2 linked regions of the Macaca mulatta genome follow. The protein of the gene in region 2 purifies or fractionates together with the protein of the main gene of each other region. This does not show direct contact. Links are inferred from orthologs where the notes say so. Each region holds a gene or a part of one and is shown on either strand. Other genes may lie near its edges. The genes, in order: RAB7A and PDHA1.

Region 1 (3,809 bases), on a different chromosome or scaffold from region 2:
AAAATTAGCCAAGCGTTGTGGCAGATGTCTGTAATCCCAGCTACTTGGGAGGCTGAGGCAGGAGATTCACTTGAACCCGGGAGGCGGAGGTTGCAGTGAGCTGAGATCACGCCATTGCATTCCAGCCTGGGCAACAGAGCAAGACTCTACCTCAAAAAAAAAAAAAAAAAAAGAATGTGGCAAGAGGAAACTTGCCTTATCAGGCAGTGAAATCAAGACAGTCCAGATAAGGGAACATGGCATAGACATCACCAGTACAGACTGGAGAGACCAGAAACAGATCCCAGCACATATGAGCATTTAGCACAGGCCACGGTCTATTCAGGGAGGGAAACGGCTTATGTAACATAGCCGAATGATTTCAAACAACTGGCTGAGCTCTCTGAGAGAAAAGGCAAGTCTCTCTTTCCTGCCATAAGCCAAAACAAATTCCAGCTGAATTAGAGAAAAATCTGATGTAGACACAGGAAACACAGAAACTTAAAATGACATACCCAAATAAAAAATTACTTTTTTCCTATGTTCAAAGGACTTAAAAATACCACAGAGTTGAAAAAGTCACTTGAGATGCAAGTAGAATTAACTTCAATTGACTAGCAGCTCATGAGAACTGAGAGAGGCCCAACCATGTGCTATGTGCTAGCTGTGTGCAGCAGAGAAAATCCAAATGGCTAAGCCCCAGGAAGAGGGACTCAGAGGGAACAGTAGCCACGATGGTGGCAATTTATACACCCAAAGATTGGCAATGTCAGCAGAGTGACAAGTGACACCTATTGCTTGCTGGCAAGGAGGTAGAACAAAGCAAGCCCACGCTGCTGAAATGTTATTCCCCTTGGGGAAAGCAACCTGGCACCCTAACTTATAATAAAACAGACCCTCCAATGTAACAATCTAACTCCTTAGGGGCTAGCTCTAAAAATAAAAGCATAAAGACAACAGGGACAGTAGTGATGGAAGAGAAAAACTCAGACGGTGATGCCAGGCAACAGGGAAACAGGTGGGAAACACTATCCTACACGATTTGGATTTCCATTCCCTTATATGAACATTAAGAAAAACACAACCGTTTATTATTTGTGGGTGAGGGTGGCCAAGTCTGCATCTTGGTCTTTTCCTTACCACTTGAGGGCTCTCCTGGCATTCTGGGTGGAACAATTTCCTCACTGAGTAGGTCTGTCCCTTTCATTCTGGAACACTTAGTGCAGACCCCACTCATGCCAGAATTTCCCTGGTCCTTGGAGCAACCATTCCAAACAACTCTCTGTCCTGCTGAAAGCCATTACCTTCATTCTGCCGGCTTCCTGGAGTCAGCAGAATCTGCCTTGCCCTTCACAGCCACTATGTGCTTCAAGTGCTCTATGCATCCCCCCAAACCTGTCACACCTCTGACCACCCCCAGACCCTGTCTGATGAGGCCTCGTGATCTGCCTTAATCACCACTGCCCCTAACAGAGTTGTACATCAAAACAGACTTTCGGCCGGGCACGGTGGCTCAAGCCTGTAATCCCAGCACTTTGGGAGGCCGAGACGGGCGGATCATGAGGTCAGGAGATCGAGACCATCCTGGCTAATACGGTGAAACCCCGTCTCTACTAAAAAATACAAAAAACTAGCCGGGCGAAGTGGCGGGTGCCTGTAGTCCCAGCTACTCGGGAGGCTGAGGCAGGAGAATGGCGTGAACCCGAGAGGAGGAGCTTGCAGTGAGCTGAGATCCGGCCACTGCACTCCAGCCTGGGTGACAGAGCAAGACTCCGTCTCAAACAAAACAAAACAAAACAAAACAAAACAAAACAAAACAAAAAAAAAAGACTTTCAACTCGCATGAGTGGTTGTATCTAATCACAGAAACAGTAAGTAAGAAATTCTAGGTATTGTATTCCTTGAATAGTTTTCCTACATTTTCTTCCTTGTTTACTTAACTGTTCCTAAGGAAAAAAGTTACCTGTCAGTATGTGAGAGCTGAAAAAGTTGGTCTCATTTAATCTTCATAATCACCCTGCAAAAGCAGGTATTCCCATTTTTCAGGTGAGGGGGTAGAAGTTCGGATATAATTTTATTTTTAATTTTTTTTTTTGAGAAAGAGTCTCACTCTGTCACCCAGGCTGGAGTACAGTGGTGCAATCTTGGCTCACTGCAACCTCTGCCGCCTGGGTTCAAGCAATTCTCCTGCCTCAGCCTCCTGAGTAGCTGGGATTACTGGCAACCCCCACCAGGCCTGGCTAATTTTCTTTTTATTTTTTAGTGGAGATGGGGTTTCACCATGTTGGCCAGGCTGGTCTCAAACTCCTGACCTCAAGTGATCGGCCCGCCTTGGCCTCCCAAACTGCTAGGATTATAGACGTGAGCCACCATGCCTGGCCATAATATATATATTTTTAAGCCCAAACTAGATATAATGATTGGTAGGCAGCAGAGCTGGGATTTGTATTCAAGTTAAGTTCCTTCTTAAATAGAGCAGCAATCTGATCAGGGGTCTCCCAGTGACCTGATCTCCTAATCGCAGCCAAGAAAATAAGAACAAGCCTAGTAAAAGAAGGGCAGTCTCAGTCTTCCCAGCCTCTACATCTTTTAGGTTATTTCCCCAAAGTGGGGTTTCTGGAAGCTTAAGCAGAGCATGTCCTAACCTTCCCAGATGAACACTTAGGGTATTCTGACTACATAGAAAAGAGTGGGTTAGGGAAGAAGATTAAGGGCAGGAGGTCAGGCAGGGACTGGGTCAGTGGTCAGGCATCACAAGAGTGGGCAGGTCAGCTGTGGGAGACCCACCTGCTTAAGTGCATTCCGTGCAATCGTCTGGAACGCCTGCTCCACGTTGATGGCCTCCTTGGCACTGGTCTCAAAGTAGGGAATGTTGTTTTTGCTGTAGCACCAGGCCTGTGCCCGCTTTGTGGCCACCTGAAAGGAGAAGTAGGGTGCACACAGGCTCATGATAGAAGCAGCTAGCACTGACTCCATCCTCCCCAGGAAGTGTCATGGTCCCTCGTCTACAGGTGGTACAGGTGAGGACACAGATGTGGGGAAAGAGGGTGTTGGAAGAGACCAGTAGACCCGTCCAAACTCGCCCTGCTGGCTATGCTCAGGATAGCTAGGATTCAGCTAGAGAGCTCAAAGCCTGTCTCAGTCTACAGCTCATACCTTCTGACCCTCAGTTATACTTAAAAGCCATTTGTGAATGGAGTAAGAAGCCAGTCTGGGAAGAAATGAAGAGTGTTTACTGGGACCTCAGAGATCCCAGGACAGGAAATGCCCAGCAGCTTGGTCTTAAGGTTTAGAGTCCCTTTACCATTACTGCTAGTGTGATGTCACCCATGCCACTCTCACATTCTCATTCCTTCCCCAACCCCTAGCCCATTTTCAGCCAAGAGATAAGGACTAAGTCACTTAGGAAGGGGAGGAAAAAAGATCCATGGTCAGAAATAAACGTAGTCGTAATTAATCAAAGAGTCTATGTTTCCAACAGAAATGATATTTGAAACTATAACTATAGTACAGCAATTTCACTCAAAGCCCAAAGCAATATTCTGCACACATGGAGATCCAAGCACGGCCTGGAGGTACTGGGAGGGCACTACTGAGAATGACAAAACTGAATTCCCTCCTTCAAAGTGCAGAAAGGGAACTGAAGTTGAGATAGCCAAGACAATGGCGTAAAGTCACAGCCAGCTGGGAGCAGGATGGGGACTTAACCCAGGTCACCTGGGTCCCAGTCCTTAAAGGCAGTTGGCCTGAAGGGCTGGCATAGGGTGATGAAGACTCCCACCAGCACCTCCTAGAGCCATGTGAGCTTAGCAGAGAACCCTCCAAATTCA
Region 2 (4,589 bases):
TGTGGTGGCGCACATCTGAGGCTACAGTGAGCTATGATTGTGCCACTGCAGTCCAGCCTAAAAAAAAAATTAATTTAAAAAAAGTAAAACTTTAACTTCCTAAATACATAGGAATCATTCATGTGGAAGAGGAAAAATGTTTCAAAAATTCCATATTCTAACAGTGTAAATTAAAACTCTTACCTACCACTTATAAAGCCAAAACACAGTAAAGATCTCAAAAAGTCATACAGAAATGCAAACAATAAAACAAAGAATAACATTTTAAATGCAATTCTGTCTTCTTCCATGAAATAAGAACTATGAAAACTATAGACCTTATTCAAAAATGAAAACACAATCTTGAAATTCATTTCAAAGTTTCACAACACACACTCTTTGATAAGACAATGGCAATCTTTAAACCTGAGATGAATCTCCCCACCTGCCTGGTTTTAAGAGAGTGAGAGCAATCCCAGCACTTTGGGAGGCCCAGGTGGGAGGACTGCTTGAGCCTGGAGATGGAGACCAGACTGGGCAACATAGCGAAACCATGCCTCTACTAAAAAAATTTATTTTTTTTAAATTGGCTGGGTGTGATGGTGGCGCACGCCTATGTTCCCAGCTACTCAGGAGGCTAAGGTAGGAGGATCGCTCGAGCCCGGCAGGCTGAGGCTACAGTGAGCTGTCATCATGCTACTGCACTCCAGCCTGGGTGACAAAGAGACTCTATCTCAAACAAAACAAAAATACCAGGGAGAATAAAAAATGAAAAAGGAAAAAACGCACAGCATCTTGGGAGGTTAAGGGGATTAACTTGTGTCACAGCCATCAGACCAGCTGCCTAAACTTATCCCTCCCTTCATGGAGTATCACACAGATGGTAGGAATCTAGTTCAGTAAGTCTGCCTAATTTGGGTGAGCCACTGCTTATTGTTTACTGTCAGGATTTTTGTGAAAGGCTTATATACAAAATGTCTTTTTACATGTATAATATAAAAAATTAAAACCTTGATCTATCTTCTTATAGTTAAGTAAAAAGACATCCATAAGTATGAAGAATTACAAAAAACAGTCAACACGTTAATTATTCCACCCTTTAAAAAGATAAAGGTGAAACTTTTAGTTCTACCCTTAAAAGCTTCAGGAATTGTTCCTAATTAGTCCACGACAAGTTGAGTGACACAGAAAACTTCCTAATTATCTGAAGAGTTTACACCACTAAGTGGAAAGATACCTGGGCACTTTCTAAGGTGACTTCATATCTGGAATTCAATTTTCTTCCTACTGTAAGGTGGGGGCGGGGGGAGACCCTGCAAACTGATAGAGGAAACGATAAACCTGACTTGCAGAAGAAATAATAAACCTACATCGGGGTGCCTAAAGGAAGGATGTTTCTAAGCCCATAACTACCGGTACAGCCCTCTACCCACAGATATCCCCAAAGGGAATGACTTTTTTTTTTTTTTAAACACGGAGTCTTGCTCTTGTCGCCCAGGCTGTAGCGTAATGGCACTCACTGCAAACTCCACCTCCCGAGCTCAGGCTATTCTCCTGCCTCAGCCTCCAGAGGAGCTGGGATTACAGGAACCCGCCACCATGCCCAGCTAATTGTGTATTTTTAGTAGAGATGGGGTTTCACCACATTGGCCAGGCTGATCTCCAACTTCTGACCTCAGGTGATCCACCCGCCTCAGCCTCCCAAAGTGCTGGGATTACAGGCTTGAGCCACCGCACCCGGCAGTTCTGTCATTATTTTAGGCAACAGGATTCCTAGAGGGGCATACCTCTTACCTTTTGACAATCTCTGCCTGTACTTAGAGCCGTATCAAGTCCTGGGGGAATTACCAGAATCCCGAGGCCTGCAGTTACACCAATGAACACGACCTCACTGTGCCTAGGGGTCAGAATGCTAGAAGCTTAGGTGTTAGGCACCTCTAAATGCTGAGGCCATGAAATAGTGCTGGACTCTACCCCCCGCCCCTCAAGCATCGTTGCTGTTTGCTTTAGCTACTTGTACCCCAAGAATGTGTAGGTAAGGGGAGGGGAGGGCAGCGTCCTCTGAGTTCTGCTTCCGCACTCCTGAACTCACTGCCAAGAAAAGCTCAGATGTTGAAGGAGAGGGAAGGGGAGGAAGTTTGTTTCTGAAGAGGCTGACCCTCTGTGAACCCGCCTCAGAACTGAGCACAGGTGTTCAAGAAATGTATACCGAACGGGACACTCAATAAATAACACTATTCAACACACATGCTATCGATTATGTGCCGGGTGCTATTTGGAATCGTATCCACACGTGTCACTCGTTGAATCCTCAAGACAACCCCAAAACAACTCTAAAACTCCATTTTAGAGTTAACTGATAACATTTTAATAACCGATAACATTTCAGAGATAACTCTTATCTCCATTCAGAGATTAACTCCACTTAGCGCAAACATTTCAGGAAACCGGGTCCCCGGGAAGTTTAAAAACTTGCTCAAGGTCACAGGGTTAGTCAATGGTGAGGGTGCTGTTTGAACGGAGCCACTCCGTCTCCAGATTCTACGCTATTACAAAGCCTCTCGGTCAAGAGAAATTAAGTTAGGAAGATCTGAAATGAGTAGGGTCAATCGGAGACTCGAAGGAGGCCGAGGCCACCCTTTCCGAGTCCTGTAAACCAACAGGCACCTCTTGAGCACACTGACTTCGCCCGGCGCACAGCTGGGCCCGGCGGCGGCAGCGGGGTGTAGAGAAGGGGGAAGTCCACAGGGACCTTGGCAGGATCCCGGTCCGCGTCGCTTCTGCTGAGGCCAGGAACGGAAAGCAGGGCGTGGGGGCGAAGTAAAGGCTCCCCGGCTCCCCTAGCTCCTTCTACCCAGCTCTGGGTGGCCCGGCCCGGCCCGCCCTCCAGCCCCGCTCGCGCCCCACCCCGGCCGCCCAGGAGGTCTCACCGGCTTCTGAGAAGCGCCAGACAACACGCGGGAGACGGCGGCGAGCATCTTCCTCATGAAGCACAGGCACTGGCGGCAGCGAAGACTCCTCACAACCCAAGAGGCACGACGAGGGTGTCCCAAAGTCTCCTTCAGGTGCCCCAGCAGACGCCACGCCTCAGTCGCAGCGCGACGTGACAGAGTCATAATAACGTCATGCACTGCGCCGGGCCACAGGCCAACCAGAACGGCGTCCAGGGGGTGCTCCGCCCCCGCTAAAGGCCTGCGGCTGCCCATTGGGTATCAGCGCCAGAGAGGGAGGGGCTGAGCGCTCTTTCCGACGCCACGCGGCGGGCGGGTGAGGAGGCGGGACCTGAGAGCGCCTGCGTGGGAAGCTGGGGTCCCGCCTCCAGGGCGCCGCGGGAAAGGCGCCTTCCTAGATTTCGCACTGCAGCGCCCGGTACTATCGAGCGCCTAGTCCTGCCGGTGCTGCAGCTCTGCAGCCCTCGCTCAGTACACGAGATGATGAAGATTAGCAGCATGCTCAGAGCCAAAAGACAGAACACCTGGTTTCTGTAAATGGTCTGCCACTAACTTGTCTTTAAAAGATCACGTAGCAGTTGGAAAATTCTGCCCTGTCTACTTGAACGCGGATCAAAAAATTTGTTTCCCAATATATGTCGAGAGGTCAATGGGAAAAATCTTTTTTCTCTAGTTATTGGTTCACTGCGAGTTAACAGCGTGGCTCGGCCAATGATGAAAGCACACACAGAGACAAACACCAAAGCAACAAGAGGCTCTATTCAGAGGATCAAAGGGCACAGGAACCCATTCTGTTGTGCCCTAGTGGGATTGCACCTGGGGTTCACATTTGGGCTCCACATTTTAAGGGGGATAATGACTAAGCTGAGTGGAATCCAGGGGACAGTGGTCAGAATGGTGAGGGGCTGAGATTGTGACTTATGAAGAACGATTAAAGAAGTTAGGAAGAAAACAGGCTAACTAGAATTGGCTAGGTTATGATGTGGTAACAACTGACCTCCAAATTTCAGTCACTTGAGGAATTTGAAGTGGCACGAGCCATCGTGCTCATAACACAGGTCCTTCGCAGCGTGGCACCCTCTCTGTGGAACTTAGCTTGTCTCATGGATGAAGGCAAAAGGGATCATTTAAACCGGCTCTCAAAGCTTCTGTCCAGAAGTGACACATGTCACTTCCTCTCAATTTTCACAGACCAGAGCTAGTTACCCGACCATGTCTGGGTTCCACAAGGTGAAATATAATCCTGCCAGGAGGAGAACAGAAAACTGAATGAACAATAAAACCAGAGAGGATTGGATATGTCTTCACACATTTTCAGGCCAGTCATGTTACAGGAGGAAGAGCTATTGTGTGTGTGTGTGTGTGTGTGTGTGTGTGTGTGAATAAAATCCTTTCATTTCAGCATAACAATGAATTTTCTAACAATGACAATGGTCCAATGAGATAATTCTCCCCCAGTGTCACTGAAAGTATTCAAAGCAGAAGTTCAAAGCATGACCAGCTCTCGGCATAGCTAGAGAAAGAATTTGGGCACTGGGTCAGACCCTGGACTGAGAGATCGTGTTGAGTCCTTCCAACTTGATGACCATGTTGTAGTGGAAGAAAACTTCTTAAAAGAGTCAGAGGGTGCCATTAAAAGGCAGAGATGGACGTGAGAAA

Evidence for each region.
Region 1: the proteins of PDHA1 (region 2) and RAB7A fractionate together in Homo sapiens (co-fractionation; 3 studies listed by BioGRID, with this or other methods). This does not show direct contact. The link is inferred for Macaca mulatta from reciprocal best matches to the Homo sapiens genes PDHA1 and RAB7A.

What each region holds. Positions count from the first base shown.
Region 1 is NC_133407.1:155,147,267-155,151,075, forward strand, and holds part of RAB7A (ras-related protein Rab-7a), read right to left. Parts: intron 2,896-3,809; coding exon 2,767-2,895; intron 1-2,766.
Region 2 is NC_133426.1:19,079,369-19,083,957, reverse strand, and holds the start of PDHA1 (pyruvate dehydrogenase E1 component subunit alpha, somatic form, mitochondrial), read right to left. Parts: upstream 3,076-4,589; 5' UTR 2,967-3,075; coding exon 2,910-2,966; intron 1-2,909. UniProt on the Homo sapiens protein: The pyruvate dehydrogenase complex catalyzes the overall conversion of pyruvate to acetyl-CoA and CO(2), and thereby links the glycolytic pathway to the tricarboxylic cycle.